7 separate regions of the Mus musculus genome follow, and regions 1, 3, 4, 5, 6 and 7 are each reported to be linked to region 2. The links are microRNA targets in miRTarBase. Many come from high-throughput screens and were not tested one by one. Region 2 holds a microRNA gene; each other region holds the end of a gene's coding sequence.
What was found. Region 2 holds the annotated microRNA mmu-miR-3102-3p (GAGCACCCCAUUGGCUACCCACA, at 1,581-1,603, opposite strand). A microRNA usually pairs through its seed, bases 2 to 8, with sites in the 3' UTR of a target mRNA and lowers its output. Matches are read on the target gene's strand: a 7mer-m8 pairs with bases 2 to 8, a 7mer-A1 pairs with bases 2 to 7 and ends in A, and an 8mer does both.

Region 1 (4,068 bases), not on the chromosome of region 2:
ATGGTACATCTGTGGGGGTCAGAAGAGGGCGACTTTCTGAGGCAGTTGTCTCCACACCACCTTGTTGAGACAAGGCCTCTCTCTTTCTCGTGTCTGCTGTGGTTTGGACTCCAGGCATCTCTTGAACTTCCTGGGCAGTTCTCCGTCATCTCGTTGTAAGAGTGCTAGGCTGACTGGTGTGTGCCACTGCTTCTGGCTTTTGTGTGAGGAGCTGTGGACTGAGGGTTTAATGAGATGACTCAAAGGCAGCTACAACAGGGGAAGTAAATCTGGCTTCTAAGGTGTACTTCGGGGTTGACCCAAGATTGGCAGGTGTTTACACTAAGCACGCTTACCTGCTAAGCCGTCTTGCCATCCCTGCGCTTTGGATTTTAGAATGTTTTCCTATTCCGTTAGCGTGCCCAGGCCTGTTCCATGTCAGGTCTGGGGTCTGCACAGCTCCCTTGGCTGACGATTGCTTGTGTGTTGTCCTCTTTAGGTAACCTGGATGGAGAAGATCATGCTGCAGAGAGAACCCTGGAGGATGTTTTCCTTCGAAAGTTTATGATGGGCACCTTTCCCGGCTGCCTGGCTGACCAGATTGTTCTGAAGCGCCGGGCCAACCAAGTGGACATCTGTGCCCTGGTCCTCAGGCAGCTGCCAGCACACAAATTCTACTTCCTCGTGGGCTACAGTGAGACTCTGTTGTCACACTTTTACAAGTGTCCTGTGCGACTCCACCTGCAAACTGTGCCCTCCAAGGTCGTGTACAAGTACATATAAAAAGTGCACTTTTCTCCAGTAGAGCCTACAAGGTCACAGAGGTGCAGGAGACCAAATGCCTGTTCTCTGAGGTGGAGGCGTCAGCTCCAAGCTGCTGTTGAATAAAACCCTGATCATGTTTTGTCCCTCTGGGTCTCTCTCTCTTTCTTTTTTTTTTGAGACAGGGTTTCTCTCTATAGCCCTGGCTGTCATGGAACTCACTTTGTAGACCAGGCTGGACTGGAACTCAGAGACCCGCCTGCCTCTGGGTGCTGGGATTAAAGGCGTGTGCCACCACCGCCTGGCCTCTCTTGGTCTCTTTTAAAGATTTTATTTTTAATTATGCGTGGGTGGGTCTGTCTGTGGATGGGTCTGTGTGTGTGTGTATGTGTGTGTGTGTGTGTGTGTGCACATGAGTAGAAGGCATTGGATATTCCTGGAGCTGGAGTTACAGTTAGCTTTTGTAAATGAATTAAACATTCAACAGGAAATCAACAGTGGAAGTACCTTAAGAAAATGGGGAGGTGGGGGGTGGGGAGCCAGGCAATGGTGGTACACACCTTTAATCCCAGCACTCAGGAGGCAGAGGCAGGTGGGTTTCTGAGTTCAAGGCCAGCCTAGTCTACAGAGTGAGTTCCAGGACAGCCAGGGCTATACAGAGAAACCCTGTCTTGAAAAAACAAACAAACAAAGGAAATGGGTGCTGGAGAGCTGGCTCAGCAGTTAAGAGCACTGACTGCTCTTCCAGAGGTCCTGAGTTCAATTCTCAGCAACCACATGGTGGCTCACAACCATCTATAATGGGATCTGATGCCCTTTTCTGGTGTGTCTGAGGACAGTTATAGTGTACTCATATAAAATAGATCAATCTAAAAAAAAAAAAGGAAAAATAGGAAGTGCTGAGCCTGGCTGGATGTCTTGTCCAGTGCTGTACAGTAGGGGGAGGACTGCACTTTGAGGCTGGCCTAGGTTAAGTAGCAAGTTCCAGGCTATACAGCAAGGGTCTATCAGAAAAATCAACAAAATATTGGTCAGTACTTATTACACAAGGGCTGAACTGATGGCTCCCATTAAGAGCATTCGTTGCTTTTTATTAAGGACCAGGGTTCAGTTCCACCACTCACAAGGCACCTCACAACCATCTGTAACTCTAGTTCCAGGGAATCCAGTGCCCTCTCTGGCCTCTGCAGGTACTTTGTCACATGGCGAATAAACATACGCATAGGCAAAACACAAAGCTTTAAAAATTTAAGGATAAGACAGGATACTATGAATAATCTATATCAACATTTTTCAGCACAGATAAAACAGGGTAATTCCTGCCACGGACTGGGCTCAGTCGGTCCTTCAACCTGTGGGGGAACCAGGATACCCATAGAGGTGAGCAAGGAGTTGGAGGATGACAAAACAGACACAGACACCAGAGAGAGAGTGCTGTATCTGATTGTAATTTCTCAAAGCGAACGCCAGACTTACAATACAGAAGAAAAACAAGAAAGCTAGGTGATATTTCAGCCAAGGTACATTGAGATGCATAATGGTTCTTCACACAAAACAAAGAATGCATACAATAAAAAGCTGACAGGAGCCAGGCAGTGTTTTCAACTGAGATAGGAATAGCCCTATTTAAAGTCAGCTATTCACAGGAGCCAGGTGAAAGGTCTGATGCAATGTTAGTGTATTGTTAAGCCCACCAGCAGGGGTCCCTTAGTAAATACCTACTTATGCTGTTCCTTTGGGCCAGGGGAATTCTGTTCTACTAACCCTTTCATGAATAATACAATACTTTACTTCCCCCTAATGTGATGTAGGCTGCCATTCATTTCTGCAATGGGAATTCTAAGTTTACTATTTTGAACTAGACTGAGAATGCTAGCTCCTATCCGGCAAACTGAGATGCCTGATTACTGTCAACACTGGGGCATTTCGTCTGGATGAATAACATTCTTACGAAATTCCAAGCCCAGGGTCAGCTCAAGGACTGCCTAGGACATTGGTGAAGGCCCGGAAGCAAAGTTCAATTTGATTTAGGTATTAGTAAAATCATTTCTTAGAGGCACCTATAATAAAACAATATTGAAAGAAAGCACACAGACCCATTCACTGACTAACGCTGGGACAGGTTTGGAGCATCTGTGCCAAGGTTCCAGGAGACTGAGTTTCCTTGACTGTATCCAAGCTTTTGGCCTTGTCACACAGTCTTTACTGGAGTGGGTGTGGCAATTTCCCTAAAAGGCAGAATATCCAAATACAAGATAGAGACTCAAAACCAAACATGTCTATGATAAAAAATTTAAAGTATCTTAAGACATTTGTATTTTACACATTTGTTTTGCCTGTGTGCATTGGAATAAGTGTGTTCTTGTTGGAGGAAATGACACTACTAGGCCCCAAGTGGAGGCTTTCTGGGAGCTGCTGATCTTCAGTTGACCTTGGAAGCCTGAGAGAGATGGGTCTGATGTCAGTGAAGGAATGCAACAGGATAGGTGGTGCGCTTGCTCATAGTGATACTACTAGGAGGTATGTCCTTTTTAGAATAGGTGTGCTCTTGTTGGAGGAAGTGTGTCACTATGGGAGTGGGCTTTTGGGTCCTATGCTCCACCCAGTGTGGAAGAGACCTTCCTCATGGCTGTCTGCAGAAGAGCCAGTCAAGATGTAGAACTCTCAGGTCCTTTCCAGCAGCCTATATGCCCGGACGCTGCCATGCTTCCTGCCATCATGATAATGGACTGACTCTCTGAAACTAGCCAGCTCCAAGTAAATGTTTGCCTTTATAAAAGTTGCCTTGGTTATGGTGTCTCTTCACAGCATTGAAGCTCTAAGGCACAATCTCAAAACTTTATTATTAATATGCAGGACATTATGAATTTACACATTTTCAGTAGCATTTATAGAACCACCTCTGGAAACAAATACAGTAATTATGAGTAATCATATGATTCAGAATATACAGTGCTTATCTTGAATCCATTCTGGCTAAAACCAGGCTGCTTCTGTGATAAGATGTTGAACAAATATCTACAAAACACTGTAATCTGCCCATGCTTTCTTTCTTTCTTTCTTTCTTTTTTAATTAGGTATTTTCCTCGTTTACATTTTCAATGCTATCCCAAAGGTCCCCCATACCCCCCCCCCCCGCCCATGCTTTCTTGAAGAACTTTATAAACACACATAGAAAAGCAAGGCGGCTCACATTGTCTGTTCAGTTGCTTCTCAGGGAGTTAATCCTGATGCTTTGTCTTTAGTATTTCATGTGGGCTGTCAGCATGACCAGGCCAGGAATCAACTAAAAGGCACACCTGTGAGGGATGTTCTTGATCATACTAC
Region 2 (4,068 bases):
TTACAGTGGCTCTGGTCCCTCCCCATTCCAGTCTCCCTAGGGAGGGCCGGGTACCAGCTCAGCTAGAATGAGAGGTCATGGATTACTCCGTTTGTGTCTGGCCTCAGTTTTCCTTTCTGTACAATGAGTAGCCCTGGATCTCTAAGCTGTAGACTTAATAATAACTTTCCAGGACTTAGCTGAGTCTATACTGAGGAAGAGGAAGGTCTTGGTGGTTCAGGCGTATGCTGGGGTCCCTGTCCCCAAACGACTCTGTCCAGGAGTTCCTTCCCCCCCAGGAAGAAGCTGGGAGCCAGAGCAAATGTCCAGCCTGCTGCTTCACTGTGGAAGTCTCAGGCCACCTTCCCTATCGGCCGCTGGAGGACAGGAGGGCAGTTCAGAGAGTCCTGGCTTCTACAGTCAGGACTGCACAGGGACTGTGAGAGAAGACACCAACATGAACTCTGGCTCACCCAGCTTCCTCTTGGCCTCATCAAAGGCCTGCTCAAAGCCCAGGCGGGCATCCGGGTGGGGAAACTCAAAGATGTAGGAGTCGGTGCCCTCGGGCCGGGTGGCGCACAGCTCCAGCTTGGTGGGCGGGAAGGCCAGGGAGCAGCATAGCGCCTGCTTTTCTGACAGGTCCCGGTGCATGGCGGCCGAGAGATCCCTCAGTGCATCGTCTAGACTCTGTGGGAAAAGAACCCAGGCCTCAGGCCAAGGTGTCACCACATGGGCACCTGCACCGAGGGGACCGTGGAAGGCAGCCTCCTCCTGCCACAGACAGGGATGGGCCTTTCTCCCCCTCAGAGGTCTCCTCCCTCAGACCCCGGACCTGTCACTTCCCTTAAGTGGGAGCAAGACTATAATTTTCCCCTTCAGATAAGTGACAGGACCAACTGCTCCCTCAGGCAAAAGCCAAGACTGTCTGTCCCTCAGGCAAGGTCAGGGGAAGTCCCAGCCAACACTGCCTTAGCTCAGGGCACAGACCTGGTGGGGGAAGCCGAGGCTCTCGGAGAGCTTGCTCATTTGGCCCAGGGTGGCCAGGTCCTCATCCAGGCGGCTGATGGCTTTTTGGATGGTCTCCCGATTGGTGGCTTGAGACGCCCCTGGCGAGGACAGAGGAAAGCCATGAACACATCAAACAAGGTCAAGCTTGGACAGACACACTTCCCTTAGCGCACAGCCTTCAGCTGAGCACGGGATTGGTCTGGCAAATGGGAGCACTTCCAGACCCAAGCTCTCAGAAACAAGGTCAACAGGTAGCTCTCAGAAAAAAAAAACAGGCCCGGGAGGAGAGGTCTGGTTTAGAGTCACAGGGCACAGAACGGCCAACTCTTGGAGAACTTGCTAGGGCACTAAGAGGATGATTTGCATGGAAACTAACCCGGTTCTTCAAAACCAATCTCTCATATGGGATGAAAGATGAGTCACAAGAGCAGACAAACCAACAGACAGGCAGGCAGACTCAGGGGAAAGCCACCAGCAGAACCCCTGACAGACTCAGCCAGCCTCACCCTTGATGATGTCTGTGTCTTCCAGTGGCAGCTTCCACAGCATCTTGTATTTGCTGGCTGTATCAATGACGCTGGCTGCTGTGTACCTGTGGGTAGCCAATGGGGTGCTCTGGCTGGGGCAGGGAGTAGAGCCCACAATAGATCAATGGCTCTCCTGCCTGCACCACCCAGCCCCACCCTGGCCACTCACAGGCTCATGGAGCTGCGCCTCAGCGAGCCCGACTTTCGTTTCAGGGTGGTACAGACAATGAGGTCTGTGAACAGGAAGAGGGATCGGTCCTTCTTGCCTCCAATTGCCTTCTGTAGGGTCCAAAGTGGCATTCAGGCTCAGTGTGCACAGTCTAGAGGCCGACCTACATTACCCTAGTTCCCCAGGAACAGCAAATCCAAGGGAGGGGTGAGGGCTCTCCCCCACTTATGTGGAATCGGGATTCATGCAGGGCTCCCATTGTGTGGTGCTTGGGGAGCAGGAACCAGAGGGCAGCAGGCGCCAGAGAGTGAACTTGGGTGGGTTGAAGGTACTTGGGGGAACAGCCAATGGGAGAACCCTTACCACTTCAATAACCATCTCCTGCCTCAGGAACCGCCGCAGGGGGGCCTGGAGCTGGTGGGTAGGAGAGAACTAGTTATTAGTCTATTAACCCTGCAGTGATCGGTTGACCACTCTATGAACGAGGTCAGCCAGAGCGACATCCTGTCCTCGCTTGCATCACTGGGCTGCCAGACAGGGACACAAGGTCAGACAGAGGAGGAGGAGGAGGAGGACACAGAAGGGTGGGGCACTGTGGTCACAGAAGCAAGCTGACCACAGACCTGGACGTGGATGGCCACAATCCGGGTGACAGATGAAGACACAGACAGGGACAAGTTGGGGCACGGCAGGGTGGGGCACGTACATCCTCCATGCCCTCGATGTGGGCTTCGATCTCCTGAAGCACGCGGGCATGCCGCTCGGCCTCCTCAGCGCTCCGCACACCCTTGTTGATGCGCTCAGCCACCTGCTTGATGTTGCGCTGAGCATCGAGCAGCAGTGGGTGGTCTGGATGGTCTTCCGGTGTGTGCTTCAGAAGGTCCTGGGGCGGGAATGGAGACCTGTTTAGCTGCCCTGAGGTATTGAACTGACTGCTGGAGCATGAGAGACCATGGTATAGGCATCAAGGAGGACTTTCTTTCCTGCCTGGAGTCTGAGAACAGACATACTCCTCCCCCCGACCCCCAGGGCCTCCCTGTCCAGCCAGGCCCGTGGTTACCTTCACCAGAAGCTCATAGCGTGGGATTCTCTGCACAGGCTTGATCATGAGGTCGGACAGCGCCTGCTTTTCCTTGTTCTCACGCATGCTTTGCTGAAACCGAAGGCAGAGTGGAGGGAGTTCTCACATGAGGACTGACACGGCAGGAAGAGACACGCTCCTAGCCAAGTCCCTCCAGGTGAGCCCAAAGGCAGAGGCTGACACACTTGCAAGCACCACAATGTTTTTGGTCAAGAGCTCCTGGGATGCCCAGAGCTAGCCTGACATGTTAGCTTCACCCCTACCCCAGTCCACATACCTCCAAGAACTTGAGAAAGGCTGGCCTGGCCTCCTTAGCTACACGCACAGCATCCTTTGCATTGAGGAAGTTATCAATATAGGCCGAATAGATGTTCACCAAGACGTCTTTGGAAAACTGTGGGTGAGGAAGCAGGTTAGGCAGGCTCAGGTGTCCCTCACCCACTTCACCCTGTCCTGGCTTCTGTCTATTTAACTTGAAATGGTCAGGCAGGTCTTCTCTGTCTTTCTCAAAATTCATACATGTTGCATGCATGAACGTGACTGAATGAGCAGGTGTGTATGTATATATATGTATATATATATACACATATATGTATACATACATACAAATACATGTGCCTAGATGTGTGCTGAGACAAGACCTGGGTTGTTTTTTGTTTTTCTTTTAATGTTGCTGCGGCTGTTGTTGTTGTTTATTTGTTTGTTGTTATTTGTTTTCACTTCCAGACAATCTATCACCAGGTCTCCAATCCCATTAAACCAGCAAGGCAGGCCTCAGACCTTCCTGGTAGTAGGAGTGAACACATTATTGTAGCTTCTGGGACTCTGCCTGTGCAGTTCGTTCCTCCATGAGGAACATCCCTCCCAGCACAATAGACCCACCCTTGGCACTGAGCTGCAGTCTGCTTTTATGGAATGTGCCTGCTGCCTGACTTAGGGGCTCTCTCCTGGCAGAATGAAGCCTGGCTCAGGACAGGGTTCACAGTGGTGGCTAATCCTGCTGGTTGGCTGATGGTAGGTGCTGGTGGGGGGCGGAGGAGAGGGCTTTTCCACAAGAGAGGACAACTGGGTTCCAGTTTCAGCTGCACCAAGGACAGGCTAAGATACAGATCTTGGAGTCCCTGATTCTCTAAGGTGCCAAATGTTCCTGTCTCTGGACATGGCAGGGCTGAACCTGAGCCGATGAGGGAGGGCCTGCCTTGTGGAGCTCCCTGTCAGCCCACAGACAGCAGCCAGGTCCAGACAGAGAGTGAAGGCAACAGCACTTAATCCTACCTGGTGGCACCAGTTTCCAAGGAGCAAGG
Region 3 (4,068 bases), not on the chromosome of region 2:
GGGACAGGCCCCACCAACAGAGAGTGTTCCATCCCACTTTGCATAAGGGGGTAGTGAGACAGAGGGAGATATTTTTAGAGGCTACAACTTTCCATTTCTCAAATTTTATCTCTTCCTGCTGAGCCCGGGGGCTGGCTCAGAGTGAGGTCTCAGAAGTGTTTTGCTCCAGCAGAGATGGGAAACTCAGAAGCTCAGATGTAGGTCCTTCTCACCCGACATCTACTAACGCCTCTTCTGTTGCTCCCTAGTCATCCAAGGAGGAAGCTGACATGGCCTACTCGGCATTCCTGCTTCAGTCCAGCACCATAGCTGCACAGGTCCACGATGGTCCCCAGGAAGCCTAGGCAGTGCTGACCACCCACCCTTGCCTGTGACAATCAACTTGAGAATCACACTGATCTGCTCGCAGCCCACACTCACCCATCACCTCCGCTCTTCCCTCCTGTCCTCAGAGGTGTGCTGGTTCCTTCCTCGGCCATGGAAGCCTGGCCTAGTTACGCCTGTTTAGGAGAGAGTGTGAGGCGTTCTTTTCTCTATGAAGAGAGTGAGGTGGAAATGAGGAGGAGGTGAACCTGAGAGACATCTCTGGAGGAAGAGGGTTCACAATAGGGGCTCGTTTCAGGAGAAAAGGCCATTTGAATCTTCTTTATAACCATATGATAGGATGTCAGCGTAACTCTTCTCTCCTCCATCTCTCCTTTCCTATCCTCTTGATTCAAACAACACATCTGAGAACTCACTAGGCTTCAGTGCCTACTAAATGCTGAGAGCCAGGCCACAATCTTTCTATAAATATTACTGGAAGAGATGCCATCTCCTCCCAGATTCTGTCTTTTCATTAAGATAAGACATCATTACCAGGCATACCTCCTGCCTCTGTGCCTCATAGGCATACACAAGCCATAAGGGCATCATGATTTTCAGATGAGAAGAGATGTTTCTCAAGAGTGCCTAGTGAGATAGACTAGCGTCAAACCAGATGTGGCAACTCCTGGCTCTTGGCCTACGATCTGTCTTCAAGACCTCTGCTCTTATTAGAGGGAGAACTTTAGCATGGGGGAAAGTAAGAGAAAATGAGTTAAAGGAGCATGGTGGTGTGCTCCTGCAATCCCAATATTAAGAGGTAAAAATAGGATCAGAAGTTCAAGGTAATCCTTGGCTACCTAGGGAGTTTAAGGCCAGCCTGGGATACATTGAGACTTGGATTCAAAGAAGCAGGAGGAGGGAGCAGGAAGAGGAGGAGTAGAAAGGGGGAAGAAGGAGAAGGAAAAAAGAAGAAGAGGAGGAAGAGGAGGAGGAGGAGGAGGAGGAGAAGAAGGAGAAGAAGAAGAAGAAGAAGAAGAAGAAGAAGAAGAAGAAGAAGAAGAAGAAGAAGAAGAAGAAGAAGAAGAAGAAGAAGAAGAAGAAGAAGAAGAAGAAAGACAGACAGACAAAAAGACAAATGGATCTTTCCTGGTCTCACCTTTCCCCTTCCTGTCACTCATGTGGACCTCATATAAGGGAAAGATACTCTCAACCTCTTGTATTTGGAGAGTTTTGAGCAGACAGGTAGAAGATGGAGCCTGGGAGCAGCTGTTTTTCCAATAGTCAAATTAGGACTGTTTCTCTCTGAGCTCTGTTCTTCAACCAGCACCTATAGACCGAAACCAACAAATCAGAAATGTCCATTAATAATTAAAGTCTATGATTGCCACCAAGGAGGCTCAGAGTGCATTTGTCATCCATACCTTAGCTCCTACTTTAGACACCCCAAAATATGTGTTCAAACAAACTCAGCCACCATGAAAGCTAAGCTGAGAGATCTTGAGCATTATGCCCTGGGGACAAATACTGACCAATTTGTTCTTCCTTGAGCTCAATCCTCTCGGACCACCAACTGCAGTACTTTGTCTTAATTCCCTAGCCCTAGCCTAGATCAGTGTCTTGGACTCCCACCCAGGAAAAAAGAGACAGAGAAAATGATGAGGAATGTTTGGTTCCTTTTGTTTGTAATGAGAATACAGATCTAGCTTCCCCAGTAATGATAGAAAGTCATCCCAGAAGAGATATAATTAATTGTAAGCTGTGACACTTGTTTTTGCAGCAATATCCTCATCCAGCCCCAGCCCAGCCCCAGCCCAGCCCCAGCCCCAGCCCCAGCCCAGCCCCAGCCCCAGCCCCATCCCATCCCCATCCCATCCCCATCCCATCCTCAGCCCAGCCCCAGCTCCAGCCCCAGCCCCAGCCCCAGCCCCAGCCCCAGCCCCAGCCCAGCCCCAGCCCCAGCCCAGCCCCAGCCCAGCCCCAGTCCAGTCCCAGCCCAGCCCAGCTCCAGCCCCAGCCCCAGCCCCAGCCCCAGCCCCAGCCCCAGCCCCAGCCCCAGCCCAGCCCCAGCCCAGCCCCAGTCCAGTCCCAGCCCAGCCCAGCTCCAGCCCCAGCCCCAGCCCCAGCCCCAGCCCCAGCCCCAGCCCCAGCCCCAGCCCAAGCCCCAGCCCCAGCCCCAGCCCCAGCCCCATCTCCATCCTGCTTGCAGTGGCTCTGTGTACAACAGAAGTTAAGATTCAATGTCTGCATTCATGTCAATAACCAGAGGCCCGATCCTGGGCTCATCACATGGCCTACCCCAATCCCTGTACCCAGAGGCCAAGAAATGCCACTAAAGCCACAGGTAATGTCATATTATTCCTAACTTGTATTCTCAGTAAGCAGTAGCAAGGGCATTACATAAAGTTCATCTGCTCCCGAGGAAGTTCCTTACAAGAAGGAAGCTGACTCACAGGTGGACCTGAATGTTGTTAGGATGATATTTAATTCTGTACAAAAGATTAATAATCAACGGTGAGAGTGATGATGATAAGCAGATCAGCAATGCCCCACCACCACCACTCAGGGAGTCACTGAAACGTCTGATGACTAGGGAAATTATCTTTGAGAGGCTGTGACATAATGGTACAACTATACAGTAACAAGGCCCACCTAGCAGTTCTGAGATATTTGGGGTGGCGGTTGACTTTACTTTCAATATCAAACCAAACATTTAAGACTTTTCTAACACTCAAGACTGAAGAATTCTTCCAAGAGGTTAGAGACAAACCACTTAGGATAAAGACTATGAAGCTGGACCCCATGGCAAAGAAGCCTGTAGTGTGCCCATCACCCAAGCTTCCCGGAGTATTTAATTGTACTGGGGAGCCTGTACCATAAAAAGAAATAATGAGGCATTATCTCAGAAATAATGCTATTCAAGTGGGAAAGGGGCACACTAGATAAAAGGTTTAAGACTGGGGGCAGAAGTGCCAAGTAAGCTGGCCATGAAACTACAGCAGAAAAGAAAAACAGGTCACCTTGCCATGTGAGCCAAGGGCTCAAGAGAGTATCTTCCAAGGCCCTTCAGTATGGTGGCACATGGCTATAGTCACAACACTAGCGACAGTGAGGCCTGAATACTGTGAATTCCAGGCCAACCTCCACTACCTAGCAAGATCTGTCTCAAAAGTAAATTAAAAAAAGGATTTCTGGGTATGGTGATAGATGAGGAGCTGCCTCTATGTGCCCCAGTGAAGAGGAGTCAGGATTAAAATGACTAGAGTTCCTGTAGGGGGAGATGCTGATATTAAAGTCTGGTGTCCTAATAGGTCCTTGATTTGGTCAATAGAATTGCTGGGCCGAAGGAACAGGTAGGACTTCCGAGTCTCAGGAGGAAAAGGAGACAGAGGAAAAGAGAAGGGCTTTTCTGCCATGCTCTGAAACGAGAAGCACTAAATCATGTAAGATCTCGGGGAAGCTAGAACCAGCGGCCTCTGCCACCAGAGAGGATGGCCAAGGAGATCGAGAAGGCTAGCTGAAAAGTTGAGGGCAGGAGAATCTGTGTTCAGCAATTGTGCTAGCCGGCAAGTTCTAAAGTAATAAAGCTGTGTGTTTTTTATCCGTGGATTCACAGATCTCGGGTGGGGCTGATAACTCGACCCTTCCAGGAGCAAAGGCAGATAGACAAGAGAAGCCGGGTCAGTGTTGGCGGCTAGGTTGCGCTAAGCCGGGAGGAACAAAAAGAAACGGAAGGGGCCCGAGTGTGGGCAGCAGCTGCAGGGT
Region 4 (4,068 bases), not on the chromosome of region 2:
TCAATGGATTTATCCCTCGCAAAGATATCAAACCTGAGTATCAGTATATGCCTAGACCTGGGCTGCGACCAGCACCCAACAGTGTGGATGTGGACGACTTCATCAACACAAGAATACAGGAGGCAGATAATGATCCCACAGCCCCTCCCTATGACTCCATCCAAATCTATGGTTATGAGGGCCGGGGTTCCGTGGCTGGGTCCCTGAGCTCCTTGGAGTCTGCCACGACAGACTCAGACCTGGACTACGACTATCTACAGAACTGGGGACCTCGTTTTAAGAAACTGGCAGACTTGTATGGCTCCAAAGACACTTTTGATGATGACTCTTAACAATAATGTTACAAATTTGGCCTTAAGAACTGTGTCTGGCATTCTCAAGAATCTAGAAGATGTGTAAACAGGTATTTTTTTAAATCAAGGAAAGGCTCATTTAAAACAAGCAGAGTTTTACAGAGAGGAAACATTTAATAAAACTGCAAGGACATCAAAGTGGAAAATACTGTGAAGTACCTTTTCCCACTTAAAAAGCAAATATTGAAGTTGTTTATCAACTTCAGTAGAAAAAAAAAAACCACTTGGCACACAAAATATTTAAATGAAGGAGAAGTCCACGGTGAACTTACAATGAAGGGAAATCGTCTATGTGTTAAGAACATCTAAGTCTCTCTTATTTTATTTTTTAATTTGTCAAAGAAGCTTCCACAAAATTAGAAAGGACAACAGTTCTGAGCTGTAATTTCGCCTTAAACTATGGACACTCTATCTGTAGTGCGTTTTTAAACTTGAAATATATAATATCCAGCCAGCTTAAACCCATACAATGTATGTACAATACAATGTACAATTATGTCTCTTGAGCATCAATCTTGTTACTGCTGATTCTTGTAAATCTTTTTGCTTCTACTTTCATCCTAAACTAATACGTGCCAGATATAACTGTCTTGTTTCAGTGAGGAGCACCCTATTTCTATGTCATTTTTAATGTATCTATTTGTACAATTTTAAAGTTCTTATTTTAGTATACATACAAATATCAGTATTCTGACATGTACGAAAATGTTACAGCATCACACTTATATTTTATGAACATTGTACTGTTGCTTTAATATGAGCTTCAATATAAGAAGCAACCTTTGAAATAAAAAAAAGATTCTTTTTTAATTCTGGGTTTGATTCTTAACATTGAAAAAAAATAAGGGTTTCTAATGATCCATTTATATTCCTAATTTAATTGTGATCTTTAATAACCCTATTTATGATCTGTTGTAGTCTGCTGCTCTCATTGTTTATTTAAATCAAATATGTTTGAGTTTTTTTAAAGATAAGATTCTGTAACTTCATGTAAATGATTTTTTGTATGTTCTGGCTTTTCCTGGAGTATATCTTCTAAAGAAGGACATTAGAGATCTAGACTAGCCTATGATTAGCCTATGATTTTACAATATGTTATATATTATGCATTTAACCTGTGAACTCATAGTTATGAGAGACAAATTCATGAGGACTGCCAGACCTCTCGATGTTCTAGATATAGACTTGATGCCCTGCCTTGAGCATTGTGGAGTTGAAGGGGTGCAGAGTCAAAGCCAACTCTGGTTTTCCTTATGTAATTTTTATTAGGATAAAGACTGACTGACAGTTGAAAGTTCTCATTTTTGTCCTCCTGTAATTTTATTTTGTCTTCAAACAATATAAAATTTCAAGTCTTAATGAGAGAAAGGGCAATTCACTCTCCAACCTTTATTATAGAAGATGCTTTGGGCCATGTACTCTCAATGAGATCAGGGATGATGCTGAACATTGATGATTGATGCCATTTGATCTGTGATAATGCCACAGTCATCTGCAGTTGCCTCTAGTTTCCTGGGAATTGGAACTTCTGTGAAGGACCTTTCACTTGTACAACGGACCAAAGGTCCAGACAAAGCAATACTTGGGAAGACATCACACAGAGTCACACTGCAAACACTTCCCCTCCTTTTCTTGAAACACAGGGCACAAACAATTTTTTTCTCTTGGATTATGGAAAATTTTGATTTTTTTTTACTATATTGTGATTATTTCATGAGACCTTATATACTGTTTTTTTATGATGCACTCCCTCCCAGTTCACTTTGCATTGACATCAAATCAGTTGACTAATTCAATGGGAGAAACTTAGTCGACATTGACACTTGAGAGTCTTTGATCCCAGGAAGGAATGTGTATTCTCAGTACTTGCATAATTGCAGGTTACGTTTATTTTATAGATAGGCTTTGTAATCCAAAGAATATTTTGCTAGGTTCATGCTGATCTCCAATTGAATTTAAAATTACTGAATAACTCAAAAGGAAAATGAACCTCACTCTGCTGTAAGTCCCCTCACCATCAATATGATCCTTTTACTTATATAGGAATGTAGTCAGAATACAGTTGACAACTTCTTTTCTTTTCCATTTTTTCTTTCTTTGTTTCTTTTTCTTTTCTTTTTCTTTTTTTTTACTTTAAGTATCTTAATGTTTGTAGAATCCTCTTAGAAGCTCGGAAATAAAATGTCTTTCCCAATTCATGGAATCTTTTGTCATTTGGAACATGGTACCTTAAGAGCAATCTTATCTTAGGCTGTCCTTATTTGGTTACAAAGCAACCACAGCTTCACGACATTGGTGTGCACACACATGAAAAAGAGTGCTGGTGTGTTCTCTCTGCTGGGTGTCTCTCTTGTGTGGTGTGGCTTGTATTCATCATTCATTCATTCATTCATTCATTCATTAATCAATTTACTGATGCACTCACTTTTCAAAATCTGACTCTTGCATGCCATACACTAGCAACTTGAGGTTTAGAATAATCCTTGCTACCTTCTTCAACAATGTTTATTCTTCCCCATTATGGTTCAAAATATTTTGTTGACTTCATTCACCTGCTTCGTGTTCAGATCAGCTACCCTTCAAGAGAATGTAATGCTGAGGGAAAAATAAGTATGATGGAATACATAGGAAAAAATGGTAAGATGGAGTATAGGTTTATTACAACTGTTCTTGTCAGAAATCCTGAGGATGATGTGGGAACATGAGATCAGGCCATCTACACCTATTACAGAGCATTTTAAAGATACTAATTCATGAAACCTAGTGAAAACAGCTCCCTCAGTGTGATGGGATCTGGTAAAGAGTGTTGGAAATTGCTCTGGGGTCTTGGGCTACACATTTGCCTACTGTCTGAGTGCCTTTCCAGTTCAGTCAGAAGAGCCAAAGGGAAACGGAACTGTGGAAGGAATAGTACCACGCCCTATGGAACAAGCAGTTCAGGACAGATTAGAAGCATATACACACTAAACATGACAGGACATATCCCTGGGTGAAATTATGACATAGTGAGATCATAAAATTCAGTTCATCAGAGATGGGAAAGAGAAACAGGGCTGTTTTGCTCAACCACTACTAGGCTAGTTTGTGAAAGTGTTCAGACTTACTTTTGCTCTTGGTTTTTCTCCACAGAGAAGTTACTGTGTTATTAAAACAAACAAACAAACAAACAAACAAACAAACAAACAAACACAGATTACAGGGTTCTACTACATAAGGTGTTTTTCTGTTTTTTTCTCAGACTTAAGATAAATTTTGACTCCTTTGCTTTCTTATACTATGAGAGTATGATCCTGTAAATCTCTTCAATTTTTTTTATCAGTCCATCTTGATGTCAATGCCTGGCACTGAATCTACACTACTTGCCTTTTAGTTCTCATATAGATAAAATATGCCCCTCCCCAACCTTACACAGTCCGTTAATGGCCAGTTACCTGGGTGCCAGTAGTCACTCATAGTTTATGGCCTTTTGGGGGTGGGGGTTTCTGAGCACCTATGAGAATGTAAGAAGTCATCGCTCCTGCTTTCTCGTTTTGAAAGAACAATAAATATTTGCTGTGGATGACAGCACCCTGACATAACAGGGATTTTGGGACTTGATGTCTGATTAAAGAAAAGCATTATGATTTTAAACTTCCCTTTCTGAGAAATTTGAACTCCTTTGATCTTGGTACCTGAGATTATGTTAAGAGGAAAAGAGGATGAAATTGGAGAAAAG
Region 5 (4,068 bases), not on the chromosome of region 2:
GGGTTTGTATTCCTGATTTCTTACTACGCAAAACTACACAAGAGGTGCTCTCAGCTGATCCAATCTGGATTTTAGAACAGTGCTTTCAAAGAGAAGACAGGCCATGCTAGGGGCCACATACTTTTAACTCCAGCATTCAAGAAGCAGAGACTAGTTGAGTTTGAGGCCAGCCAGGGATATATATTAAAGGCTCTGCCTCAAAAATAAATAATAGAAGCCGGGCGTGGTGGCGCACGCCTTTAATCCCAACACTTGGGAAGCAGAGGCAGGCGGATTTCTGAATTCGAGACCAGCCTGGTCTACAGAGTGAATTCCAGGATAGCCAGGGCTATACAGAGAAACCCCGTATCGAAAAACTAAAAAAAAAAAAAAAAAAAGAATAATAGAGAAGACAAACTACTTGGAAACTACTACATTTAAGTCCGTGGCAAGAAACAAAACATCCCACAGCAGCTGCTCTTCTCTGGGACAGGCAAGGCAGAGCTCGGACTCCCGCCTTACAGAGGACCCCAGATTTGGGATCAGTGTTTCTTTCATTAGCTTTCATGAACTATATTTAAAAGGTTTTAGCCTGGTGGAGTGGCACACACCTTTAATCCGAAGCAGGTGTGAGCAGATTTCTCAATTCAAGGCCAGCCTGATCTACAGGGACAATCCCAAAAGGGCTACAGACCCTTTCTCAAAAACAAAACAGTAAGGTATTAAAACTCAGATTGTACATGGTAAGAGGTAGAATTTTTCAGCAGATGGCCTTTCCTTTGGAAAATGTCCAACTGTTGACATTTGAATTTTCTCTGAGATAACTTTTCTTTAGAGATAATATTCTAAGATTTTTAAAAAGATTTTACTAATTTGCAATTATGTGCAGCATGGAGATCAGAAGAGAGCTAAATTCCCTAGAATTGGCCTTACAATAGGTTGTAAGCCACCATGTAAGCACTGAAAACCTAACCTGGGTCCTCTGGAAGAGAAGCAAGTGCTCTTAGCCCAGGGGCCAACGCTGCAGAACCTAATCACCCAATCTCAGACGTGTATGTATGCCTAAACATGACTTAACAAGGCCCCTACAGTAAATACATAGAAGCTTGCACACAAATTCCTTTTCAGCTGCTGTTCACCTCACTCTTAATCTGTGTGTTTTGAGTTGGGGCCTCCATTGGTTCAATTTATACAGAAAAAAGTAAACTTTCTATTCTCTGTGAGATGGCTTCAAAGGATAAAGATCTTAGGTATCAACAACTCTGAGCACAGACTTTAATGAGTTCCTTCCTTACAGCTAATTACCATCTGTAGTGGCTAACATTAGGAAAAAACTATTATATAAGAGATTCACAGGGACTGGAGAGATGGCTCAGTGGTTAAGAGCTCTGACTGCTCTTCCAGAGGTCCTAGGTTCAATTCCCAGCAACCACATGGTGGCTCATAACCATCTGTAATGGGATCCAATTCCCTCTTCCGGTGTGTCTGAAGACAGCAACAGTGTACTCACACACATGAAATAAATCTTTAAAAAAAAAAAAAAGATTCACAGGTTGATAAACATTCATATTTTTAGACAAGTCTCTAGAGGGTCTATATAACAAAATTATAATTTTTGCATTAGAAAACTACATAAATGTAATGTTTTGTATACAAATAAAGGCATGAGATGATACCTCTTAAAATGTACTAATCAGTGACAGAGCAATTGCCTAGTGTTCCCAAGGCCCAGCACCCCCAACACACACACATACACAAGCATAATCTGCCCTTGAACCCATAGACACTGTCTTTATAGCATACTCCTTAGCTAAGAGCTGCATGAGAAAAGTGAATCTTTAATGAGAATGTAGGATTTAGATCTCAATCTTCATCTTTTAAATTTTATTAACAGATAATTACTCCTTATGCCATTTTTAGTATTATTATAAAAATATCCAGAAACAAACAAGAAAACTACAGGAATAAGTTGAGTCAATTTTTATGCTGTAGATATTCTAAACCTTTTCCAAAATAGACGGTTTGAGCCTTTGTTGAATTTGAAACAAAACCTAATTAAAACAGCTGTTGCCTAAGCCAGGCCTGCCCATGCACACCTACAGTCCCAGCACTTGATTGAGAGAACTGAGTTCAAGGCCATCCTGAGATACAGAGTGAGTCAAAAATAAAAAATTTCTTTGTAAACACCTTACTATTCTCTATCACTCTTTAATGCCTTTTATGATCCAGTTTAGTAAATGGTAACGTTTCTTTGTTAACTCTTCACTCACCATATTCCAGGTACTGTTCTAAGTAAGCCTGCCTTATGATTTAAGTCAGTCCAATAGCCCTGTGCGGCTGGTAATACTATCACCTCCATTTCAGAGAGAAGAAAATAGAAGCAAACGGATTAAGCTACAAATTACACGGCCCAAAAATCATACAATCAAGTCACTGATATGTACTGGTATGCCTTGACCTCAAGCTGTTCAGACTAGTTAGGGCTTCAGAGGCTCTGGCAGCCGTCAACAGCAATACAGAAGGCAAGTTCTCAATGAAAGGGGCCAGATGACTTCCATTCTGAATTCATACTTAGTTTGCCTAGGGGCAGCTTTTTAGTATTTAAAAAAACACACAGAATTTTTCTCTGTATATGAAATTTTAAAATCCCAGACCAGGACACAGGTTTTCATACTGGGAAATACTAATGAAACAATATGAATAAACATCAGTCTATTAAATAATTGTAGCAGTTAAATTGGCAATAGTTAAAATATAATCTTAATCTAAGCATGTGGAATAGTTTATCTGATAACTGCTTCCAATATTTTACAGATAACCTTAGTGCTTAAGAAAAAGATACAGATATCCATCCATAAAAACTAGGATAGTTTAAGAAGGCTCTAGACCCAGTGTTCATAAACCTCCAGATGAAGTGGGTGGACCTGAACCTTAATATATAATGCAACAATGAATTTCTCCATTTCCTTACCTGGTGCTTTCCTTTTCCTAAAAACAAAAGAACAGGATTTATCTTGATCTACACCATTCAGTCATTAAACTCCATGAACCACCTCAACTTTCAGTATTCATAGAACAACATCATAAACAGTGAAAATTAGTAGCTTTTATTGTATAAGAAACAACCTTTATGAAAAACTTGCATTTCTGTAACATGGAAACTTGCTGAGGTAAAAAAAAATATATTTCTTTTAAAAGAAATTAACTTCACTGCCTGTAGGCTAGCTTATTACTGATCTTAGCACCAAAAAAAAAAAAAAAAAGGACTAGAAACTTTTAGGAAACAAATTGTAATAAAGTCCTGTGATTAAAAGTTCAAGTGTTTTCATTTCACTCATCTTTCTTATATCTTCCCTACAACAAACCTGTCTATGTAATCCTATTTTCTTAAGAATGAAAACCCACCACCATAGTTCTGAAAAACAATCAAAAAATTTTCAACAAAACTCAGGGAATAAGAACATTTCAAAGAAAAAAAAAGTATTTCAAGACCTTACTCTGAAAATAATTTTTTCTTGAGCTGACTAGTCTAAGGACTAAAGTCAACAAGCTCACTTCTCCAGAAGTGATTCCAGCTCTTCCTGCAAAGAGCTAAGCTGCTCCTTTTCGCGGTCTTCTTTTTGTTTGAGCTCATCCAGAACTGCCTGAAACCTGTTCTTGAGAGCCAGGTTTTCTACCTTCATAATGAGATCTTCCTGGCGCTTTGCCCTGTCTTGGGTTTCTTGGAGCTTGCCTTTCATGTTATCTATCTGCTTCTGAATTCCCATAACCAACTGATTGGTTCCTTCATTTTCTTGGTGTTGCTCGTCGGATTCATTTAGCTTGTCTTGTAGCTGTCTCTCCAGATCTTCCTCAGTGTCAAGGATGTTTACGTCTTCTTCATCTTCACTGCTGCTGCTGAGGTCATTGAATATCTCTCGAAGCTCATCATGCTCTAGTGAGTCATGGCCTTGCCTGTGGCCAGACATTCCTGGAGAAGAGATGTCCAGGCCTTGATTTTCTGTCTCCTTTGTTTCATCTTCAGCAATTATCTCCCAACGAGTACTGACAGCTTCTGCATCTGTACTCAGCAGACGCTTGACTTCTTTT
Region 6 (4,059 bases), not on the chromosome of region 2:
ATCCATGATTTATGGCATCATGCATTTATATCCATCAGTATTTTGCAACATGGCAGCACTTTGTGAGATGTGGTACAAAGGTCATGTTATATTTGTTGTCAACTTGAAAAACTGTGGGAATGAAGAAATGTCTGTGATCAACAGCTTTTCCTATTTTGCTTGTTTTCTAGGTAACAATGGCCAACATTGCAATAAATGGAAATAATTCCCCAGTGACCTGTGAAACGACACTTTTTGCTCTCCGCATGGCAACGTGGAATCAGATCTTAGATCCCTGGGTCTATATTCTGCTACGGAAGGCTGTCCTTAGGAACCTGTATAAACTTGCCAGTCGTTGCTGTGGAGTTAACATCATCAGCTTGCATATCTGGGAACTCAGCTCCATCAAGAATTCCTTAAAGGTTGCTGCTATTTCTGAGTCACCAGCTGCAGAGAAGGAGAGCCAGCAAGCATCGAGTGAAGCTGGACTGTAAATCAATGCAGTATTAGAAGAAAGTCACGGAAACTTCTGAAACATCTCAGTTGATCCGACTCATCGTGTAACTGGAACATTTGGACCTCTGTGTAGTTTGGGAGAACACTGGTCAGACACACCTTCTGACTTTTGTTAAGCTGACTGCTGCATGGTTGTGTATTTCATTTGTTTGTGTCAACAGGAGATAGACAGATACAATGTGGTGTCCTTGAGTAGAACACACATTTGAGTTTAATCTGTGTGGCTTACGTTCTTGGAATAAATGAATCTGTTGAGGCCTAGTGCCTTTATTTGACCTATTTTTCCAAGCACCTTATGCTACTTGCACTGTGACATGGCATTTGAGGATCCCTGACTTACAGACAAAGCTTAAAATGACACAAGTCATTTTTTCTGTTTGCGTGTGCGGTTCTGCTCTGTTTACCAGTCCATGTGTCCTCAATCAATATCTGCATGACCATGACATCTGAGACTCACGGTGACTTTGATGGCCACTGTGTAGGTTGGCCAGCCTGATATTGTGAGGCTGATGAGGATAATCATTCTTGTCACAACTGACAGGTATGAGTGCTTGCATTTGTTGTTATGAAGGTTAATTATTTTTCCATATTTGTTATCCTCCTATAAAGTCATAGGTTTTCAGTGTCTAAGTAATCTCCAGTTCCTCTGAAAATTGTAGAGAAATGCCGGCTTTGTCTTAGCACAGATTCAGCTCATGACAGCCTATCATGAGCCCTATTATAGACGATAGAAACATTGGAAACCCACTTACACATGCCAAGAACATGGCAAACGTTGCTTTATCTGAGTTGTCCTTTCTGTGTCAGAGAATAAAAGAAAAACAATCAAGACACATTTGAAGTCTGTTTGCAGCTATTCTGTTTCTGCCTTACACACACACACACAGACAGAAGGAAGTTCTGTTAACAGCAATTTCACTAAATAAGTTGAACCACACTTCCAAAAGCCTGTGTTGTCAGTGAGGAGTGGAAAGATCTAGAATTAGCCAGGAGTTTGGCCCCACTGTTGCAGTTAACCTGAGGCTAAGATTCTGTTGCCAAGTTTCCCAATCTTAATTCACACTTCTCCTTTGTTTTTATAATTTAACACAAAGATACTCAATTTCAGTAATCATTCTAAACATTAGGTTCAGCACTGATTAGGGTTAGTGATTATGTTTTATATGGAAATGTATTTTCATATTTAAAATGTTTCCTTGCTTCCATCAAGTTTGGCTTCATTTAAAGACTATTACTAGTTTTTGCAGTGTGTATGGATGTTTTACCTGAATGCATTTCTGTGCATCATGTGCATCATCCCGAAACCATGTGAATTCAATAGACTTAAAATAGTATCTTCAACATGATTTCTCTGTCAAGAGATCACATCCAAAGACCTTCTAGGTCTATAAGATCCGGCTGGAATGCAGACATGCCTGGACCTGGCTATAATATAGATACACCCTTAGTACACACATTTAATTCCTAACAATGAAGATAAAGTTAGTTTGTAGAAGGAAGTAGTCACTTTTGAAAGCAATGTCCAATTGAGGGGCAGATGGAGTGATGAATCAGAGAAAGTTTTGACCGAATGAGTTAGAGAAAGGATATGCCTAACTCACATGGGAATAGCACAGGAAAGAGAGGATACTGAGGAGCAGAGTAGAGAGGGAGAGAGGAGAGAGGAGAGAGAGAGAGAGAGAGAGAGAGAGAGAGAGAGAGAGAGAGAGAGAGAGAGAGAGAGAAAGGGGCTCTGGTGTGTGTTTGTGTTTATGGCAATTTTAGTTTTCCCAGGACAGTTTTACATAGATCAGCTGCAGAGAGAACAAGATGGGTGCAGGTGAAGACAGAGTGAACCAAAGAATGGGAAGAATCCAGAAGAGCAGAGCTTATTGACAAAGTTAGTATGAGGCCAAGCAAGCAATCAGGCAGAAGTGGAGAGAAGCCAGATTGAATCGGTTAGTTTGGAAGATTAGATTGTTTGGAGAGTAGAAGCTTTTAGGCCTAGGCCTAGGGGTAAGTAGAACAGAGAAAAAAATGCTCTGAGCTCAGCCTAAGCTGTGTATTTACACAGCTAGAGTATGGCTTTCATCTCATCTCTTTGTCTGAGGAAATGAGAGCACCATTTTCAAGCAGCTGCCGTTCTTAACTGCTGAGCCATCACTCCAGCCTTTCAAAATTGTTTTTATCTATAAAAATGACTTCAGATTCTAGGACTCAAAATACTATCTTCAAAAACTTTTGCTTTTGATTGGTAGTTTACACTAGATATGATTACTGCTTTTGGTAAATTCTCCTAAGTAAATTGAAAGAAATTAAGCTAATAGCTTAATTTGTTTAAGTCTTGTTGAAGACTTAAAGGAAATTATTTATAGTGATTCGAAAGGAATACACACTATTATGTGATAATCTTAAGACAAGTGATCAATCGCACAACTGATTCCTATGTAGAGAATATATCAGAGAATAGACAATGATTTTTGGTGTAACTTGAGCACGGAGTTGTAAAGAGCATGCACAATTTAAATTTAAGCTGACAGCTACATGCTGGTTTTTGTGATGTACATATGTATACATATATGTATGTGTGTTCCTGTGTGCATGCATGTGAGTGTTTATGAATATGTGTGTATATGTATGTGCATGTACATGTAGAATGCATATGATTGTAAAAAGGCATTACAATTTATGATTACTGTTGCATTACATAAGTGTTATCATCTTTCATTTCAAGAGTACTCAAAGCTTGGACAAACTTTCCGACAGTTCACTTACTTTCTGAGCAGATTTATTTTCTACAGAAATAAGATGTTGGCATCTTAAAAACAGAGGCATGAAGAACCAAGTCTCTGTCTTCCCTAATTATAGTTGGTAAAACTCTGCAGTTAACATGACCATGCATTTCAACTGAGGAAAGGCACTGAGAAGGGACTTGTTTCGAGGCTCCAGGGCTCTTTATTGTGAGCCTCTGATATGGACACAATTGTTCCTCTACTGCTGTGATGTCTACAATGAGACCATCTTTTAACATCAACCTGTGACGAAGGCAAAGCTCTGGGAAGTGCCAAGGAGTTTATTCAGTGCATATTCTGGAAGATTTATCTATACTATCTAAGCAAACTTTTAGGGTAAAAGTACTGATCTTGTGATGAGAATAACCCACAGTGTAAATATAAAAAATTGAAGAAGTTGCATATTATGCCTGACTCTAAAATTTTGTTTGTTATAGTGGCTGTTGTATACAGTTTACTGTGCAGTAGGCAATCGAGGATGCATTTTCTGATAACTTACATAGGCCTGAGTAAAAGTGTGCTTTTTCCTATTCATTAAAATAAACAGTACAAGGAGTTCCAACAAGCTCACTAGTGTGAGTGTTTAAGCCGTTTTGACATTTATAGTCTGTTGTATGAGGTAAACTGTTGTCTGCACAGCTTCACAGTCTATGGAAACATTGGGCCTTTGGAGAATTGCAATCTTAATAAGCAAACAAACACTAAACACTAAACCTTTTTGGAGTCTTTGTAAATCTTTTATGAAAATGAGATAAAATACATGTCACATTTCCCAAGGTTGCATATACAGAGA
Region 7 (4,067 bases), not on the chromosome of region 2:
CTACGGGGAGAGAAGAAATTGTAAAAGAGGGTTGTTTTAACCTATTCATTATGTTTATCAGAGTCTTTAGGGCATAGATGAGCTTTCAGTCCTGAAAGGTTAGAAGGCCTGTTCTATTACCTACATGGTTAACAGCAAAATTGAGATGAGAGAAAGCAGTATTAAAAGCAGGTAGATATGAAGCTAGAAGTGGCCAGTCTTACTATGCCAGTAAGACCTCGTACACCTTGCTTCTCTGTTCACTAAAACTTTCATTTCTTTCAGATTTCGACTACTGGGATTATGTTGTCCCTGAGCCCAACCTCAACGAGGTGGTATTTGAAGAGACAACATGCCAGAATTTGGTTAAAATGTTGGAGAACTGTCTGTCCAGATCAAAGCAAACCAAACTTGGTTGCTCTAAGGTCTTGGTCCCTGAGAAACTGACCCAGAGAATTGCTCAAGATGTCCTGCGGCTCTCGTCCACGGAGCCCTGCGGCCTTCGGGGTTGTGTTATGCACGTGAACTTGGAGATTGAAAATGTATGTAAAAAGCTGGATAGGATCGTGTGTGATGCTAGCGTGGTGCCGACCTTTGAGCTCACGCTTGTGTTTAAGCAGGAGAGCTGCCCGTGGACCAGCCTCAAGGACTTCTTCTTTAGCAGAGGTCGCTTCTCCTCAGGCCTTAAGCGAACTCTGATTCTCAGCTCAGGATTTCGACTTGTGAAGAAAAAACTGTACTCCCTGATTGGAACGACAGTCATTGAAGAGTGCTAAGGAGGAAAAACAATTAAAGGCCCCTAATGAGTGGATAATAAACCTCTGAAGCTATCCAGCCAGTCATTTGTAGTTTGCCTGCTTGCCCTCACCAGGAAATCCCAGATTTAGGCCCTTTTCCTTCTGTGTGTCTCACCCATAGCAACCCACTTTAAAGGCTGATTTTTTTTTTTTTTGTCCAGCTTTTAAGACATAATTCAAGAGAGCAAATTGCCCACATATGTGTCCATATGGGATAGAATGGAATAAGGAGGAAAAAGAAGCAATCTCCTTTAATTTTATATTTGGTCTCATATTTAGCAGGTAGTCTTAGCAACAGAGCAAGATCCACTTTGCCTAATTTGACTTTCATGTGCCCAGGGCTTGCTGTTATTGTACCCGCCTCTCTCTCTCTCTCTCTCTCTCTCTCTGTGTGTGTGTGTGTGTGTGTGTGTATATATATATATCTGTCTGTCTCTCTCTGTCTCTCTGTCTCTCTCTCTCTCCTCCCCTCCCTCCCTCTCTGAGAGCCATCTTTTCAATGACAGGACCTGACAAGATGATGTGCAGCCCCATCAAAACATATAGAGATCTGCACTACCAGCTTCCTCCCTGAATTTGAAGAGCTTTTACACAAGAGGGTACAGTTAAATTGATCCGCTGGATTAAAACATCACCTTACATAGAGCGAATAAACATCACAGTGACAAGAGCATGGCTTCCCTGCCTGGTGGTCTCCCCACACCCGTGCCCAGGAGACACGAGAAGTGTGCCTCTTACTGCAATGATTACATGATGGCTTTCAGTGCCTTTGTAGTATTGTGTCAACTTGGTTTTCCTAGTTACCAACTGTTGAATGTTATCATTTTTTACATTGTCTTTGAGTAGATAAAAAAAAAAAAAGAAATGACTGTCTTTTTGCATAGAGTTGATTTGACTGAGCAAATATTGATTACCCATCTCTAAAGATGGAGAAGGGTAATTTCAGATCCCGTCCCTTTCGGATCCACTAGGTCACATTGCTGCTTTGTGCCACCAAGATGCTTCCTCTCCAGTGAAGTGTCTCACCACATGGCAGTTAGCTCATCTCTGGTCTTTTCTAGGAACTGGATCACCTTTCCTTAACATCACACTTCTTTTTAGTTACCAATGTGCTTATATTGGCAGAGCCTGACTTGACTCTGAGATGTTGTTGCTACCACAGACTAGATATGAAAGTCCTATGATAACTTAAGACAATCACTGCACATACCCAGCTCCATCCACTATATCACAGCCCATTCCTAGGAAACAGCAAATGCCTCTTTTGCTTAGCTTTTGCTTCATTTCAAGTAACTAGATGTTTCTCAGGTTTTATGGCCATGAGACAATTTACCTTCCACGTAACTCTGTTCTATTCAGCAAGGTCTTTTCTTCCTTGGGTCATGGAAAGTAACATTTTCGGGTCACCTGCCTAGGCCTTCAGTATGAGTTTGTATACCTCAGGCACCAGCTTGGCTGGGACAAATGTCTTCATCCTGACCTTACACAAACAAGCCTGATAGTTACTGGTCTTATGGGTGACCTAGGACATCACTGTTCCAATGAGCACGTCTTCTAACTTGGGGAGGTACCACGGAGCTAGTCTTCACAAGACTGGGCCAGTAGGCAAAACCCTGTTGATCTGTAGGCTTACAGATGCCCAGGTTCTGAAGGTCGCTGTGTTTCTGTAGCTGTTTTGAGTCTTGCTGGGGAAGATGGTGAGGCTTCTCAGGCATGGACATAGATCTTTTACCCGTTAGCAGTTCTCTGGTTCTCCTGCCCATTTGACTCTCAAAATAGTAATGGCTGAAGGAGGCTCTTGCAATAACAATCCTGTTAAAGTCAATTTTTTACAATAAAATGTTATATATTTTTAATTCCCTTGGCCTCTTTGTTTTTTCTGCATTTGTGTCATGATCACCCTAGAAGAGACTTGACTGTATTTGGAGAAAGATAATGAGTTACACTTATTTTGAATACTTATACCTCAATAAAGAATGCATCTTTCTCATAATTTTCAGTATTTCTCATATTTTCTATAGGAAGACATTAATGATCTGAGCACCAATGGCAACTGCCTTGTTCAAAACAAATATCAAAACTTATTGTATGAAGACTTTTTGCATAGTTTCAAATATATAACTAATTATATGACCAGCATACATATTCAATTTTCCTAATCTATTAAATGACAGACCTTCCTTAACTCCCCTATTATTCAATTAGAATTTAATTTTTCACATACCTTTTCTATCTCTTCAAATTAATGTTCATTCCCTCGGATTTCTTGTGGTATAACCTCAAACATTTGAAAGATAAGCTAACAATATTATACACAGTGAAGACAGCATAGACAGGGCCAGAAACATTTGCTTGGAAAAGAGATTTGAAAAGGTATAGTCTTAATTTATGCTTTGGATTGAAACTATAGCTTCAAGCTTGCTAAACAAAGACCCCACTGCTCCTGTACTTGGTGTAGGACTCCAAAAGCAAATGCTTAGTGTGGTTTCAAATCGGGTAGAGAAAAATGAGGAAACTATTGGCAAGACGCATCGGTAGCAGGAATTGGCTCAGACTTTAAAACCTGTCCATAGGCTAGTGAGATGACATGGTGGCACAGGTGAGATGGCATGGTGGCACCGGGTAAAGCCGCTTGCCACCAAGCCTGACCACTTGATTTGATCACTTAGTGATTATTTTTTTAATGTAAGAGATTAAACCAGTGAGTGTGGGGTGAGTGTGGGGGTGGGGTGGGGAGTCTTGGGGTGTATATAGTGGTGGTAGAGTATTAGTATGTGTGTGTGTTGTGTGTGCATGTGTGTGCTGGTGGTAGTAGGGTGTGTAGGTGGTGTTTATATGTATGTGTGTGTGGTGGTATGTGTGTGTGTGGTGGTGTATGGTATGTAAGTGTGTTGTAGGAGGAAGGATATGTGTTGTTGGTGGGTGGGTGGGTGTTAGGGGTGTGTGTGTGTGTATGTATTATTGTGTGTGTGGTGTGTGGTGTGTGTTAGTGGTATGTGTATGGTGTGTGATATGTGTGTGAGTGTGTGTTAGTAATGTGTGTTATGTGTGTGTGTGTGTGTGTGTGTGTGTGTGTGTGTGTGTGTGTGTGGTAGTATGTGTGTGTGTGAGTGTATGTTGTTGGTGTGTGTGTTAGTGGTATGTATGGCATGTGTGTGAGTGTGTGTTGGTGGTGTGTGTGTGGTAGTGTGTGTGTGTGTGTGTTGATGGTGTGTGTGTTGATGGTGTGGTATGTATGTGTGTGTGTGTGTGTGTGTGTGTGTGTGTGAAGGCTGTTATATGCATTTCTCA

Region 1: the mRNA of Mrps24 is a reported target of mmu-miR-3102-3p. Seed matches in the 3' UTR shown: 7mer-m8 at 1,009-1,015.
Region 3: miRTarBase lists Pigr as a target of mmu-miR-3102-3p. The part of its 3' UTR that is shown has no 7-base or 8-base seed match.
Region 4: miRTarBase lists Cdh11 as a target of mmu-miR-3102-3p. The part of its 3' UTR that is shown has no 7-base or 8-base seed match.
Region 5: the mRNA of Taf7 is a reported target of mmu-miR-3102-3p. Seed matches in the 3' UTR shown: 7mer-A1 at 3,219-3,225 and 7mer-m8 at 1,710-1,716.
Region 6: miRTarBase lists Ptgfr as a target of mmu-miR-3102-3p. The part of its 3' UTR that is shown has no 7-base or 8-base seed match.
Region 7: miRTarBase lists Ddit4l as a target of mmu-miR-3102-3p. The part of its 3' UTR that is shown has no 7-base or 8-base seed match.

What each region holds. Positions count from the first base shown.
Region 1 is chr11:5,701,143-5,705,210 of GRCm38, reverse strand. Mrps24 (mitochondrial ribosomal protein S24) reads left to right here. Exons shown (of 4, transcript NM_026080.3): 4 at 479-1,229. The coding sequence ends at 762. Among named protein-coding and RNA genes, the nearest start is that of Mrps24, 4.5 kb to the left of the region's middle.
Region 2 is chr7:100,880,727-100,884,794 of GRCm38, forward strand. It overlaps Mir3102 (microRNA 3102), which reads right to left and starts at 1,683; the gene lies at 1,580-1,683. Arhgef17 (Rho guanine nucleotide exchange factor (GEF) 17) reads right to left here. Exons shown (of 21, transcript NM_001081116.1): 4 at 3,042-3,158; 5 at 2,744-2,836; 6 at 2,390-2,566; 7 at 2,047-2,097; 8 at 1,684-1,793; 9 at 1,494-1,579; 10 at 967-1,085; 11 at 453-666.
Region 3 is chr1:130,850,553-130,854,620 of GRCm38, forward strand. Pigr (polymeric immunoglobulin receptor) reads left to right here. Exons shown (of 11, transcript NM_011082.3): 11 at 249-1,697. The coding sequence ends at 344. Among named protein-coding and RNA genes, the nearest start is that of Fcmr, 13 kb to the right of the region's middle.
Region 4 is chr8:102,630,578-102,634,645 of GRCm38, reverse strand. It overlaps Cdh11 (cadherin 11), which reads left to right. Exons shown (of 13, transcript NM_009866.5): 13 at 1-2,551. The coding sequence ends at 332. Among named protein-coding and RNA genes, the nearest start is that of Cdh11, 150 kb to the left of the region's middle.
Region 5 is chr18:37,638,957-37,643,024 of GRCm38, forward strand. Taf7 (TATA-box binding protein associated factor 7) reads right to left here. Exons shown (of 2, transcript NM_175770.4): 2 at 1,535-4,068. The coding sequence ends at 3,531. All of the region lies in intron 1 of Gm37013 (predicted gene, 37013), which reads left to right. All of the region lies in intron 1 of Gm38666 (predicted gene, 38666), which reads left to right. All of the region lies in intron 1 of Gm38667 (predicted gene, 38667), which reads left to right. Among named protein-coding and RNA genes, the nearest start is that of Slc25a2, 2.3 kb to the left of the region's middle.
Region 6 is chr3:151,798,038-151,802,096 of GRCm38, reverse strand. It overlaps Ptgfr (prostaglandin F receptor), which reads left to right. Exons shown (of 3, transcript NM_008966.3): 3 at 171-3,487. The coding sequence ends at 473. Among named protein-coding and RNA genes, the nearest start is that of Ifi44l, 37 kb to the right of the region's middle.
Region 7 is chr3:137,625,702-137,629,768 of GRCm38, forward strand. It overlaps Ddit4l (DNA-damage-inducible transcript 4-like), which reads left to right. Exons shown (of 3, transcript NM_030143.4): 3 at 265-2,631. The coding sequence ends at 755. Among named protein-coding and RNA genes, the nearest start is that of Ddit4l, 4.1 kb to the left of the region's middle.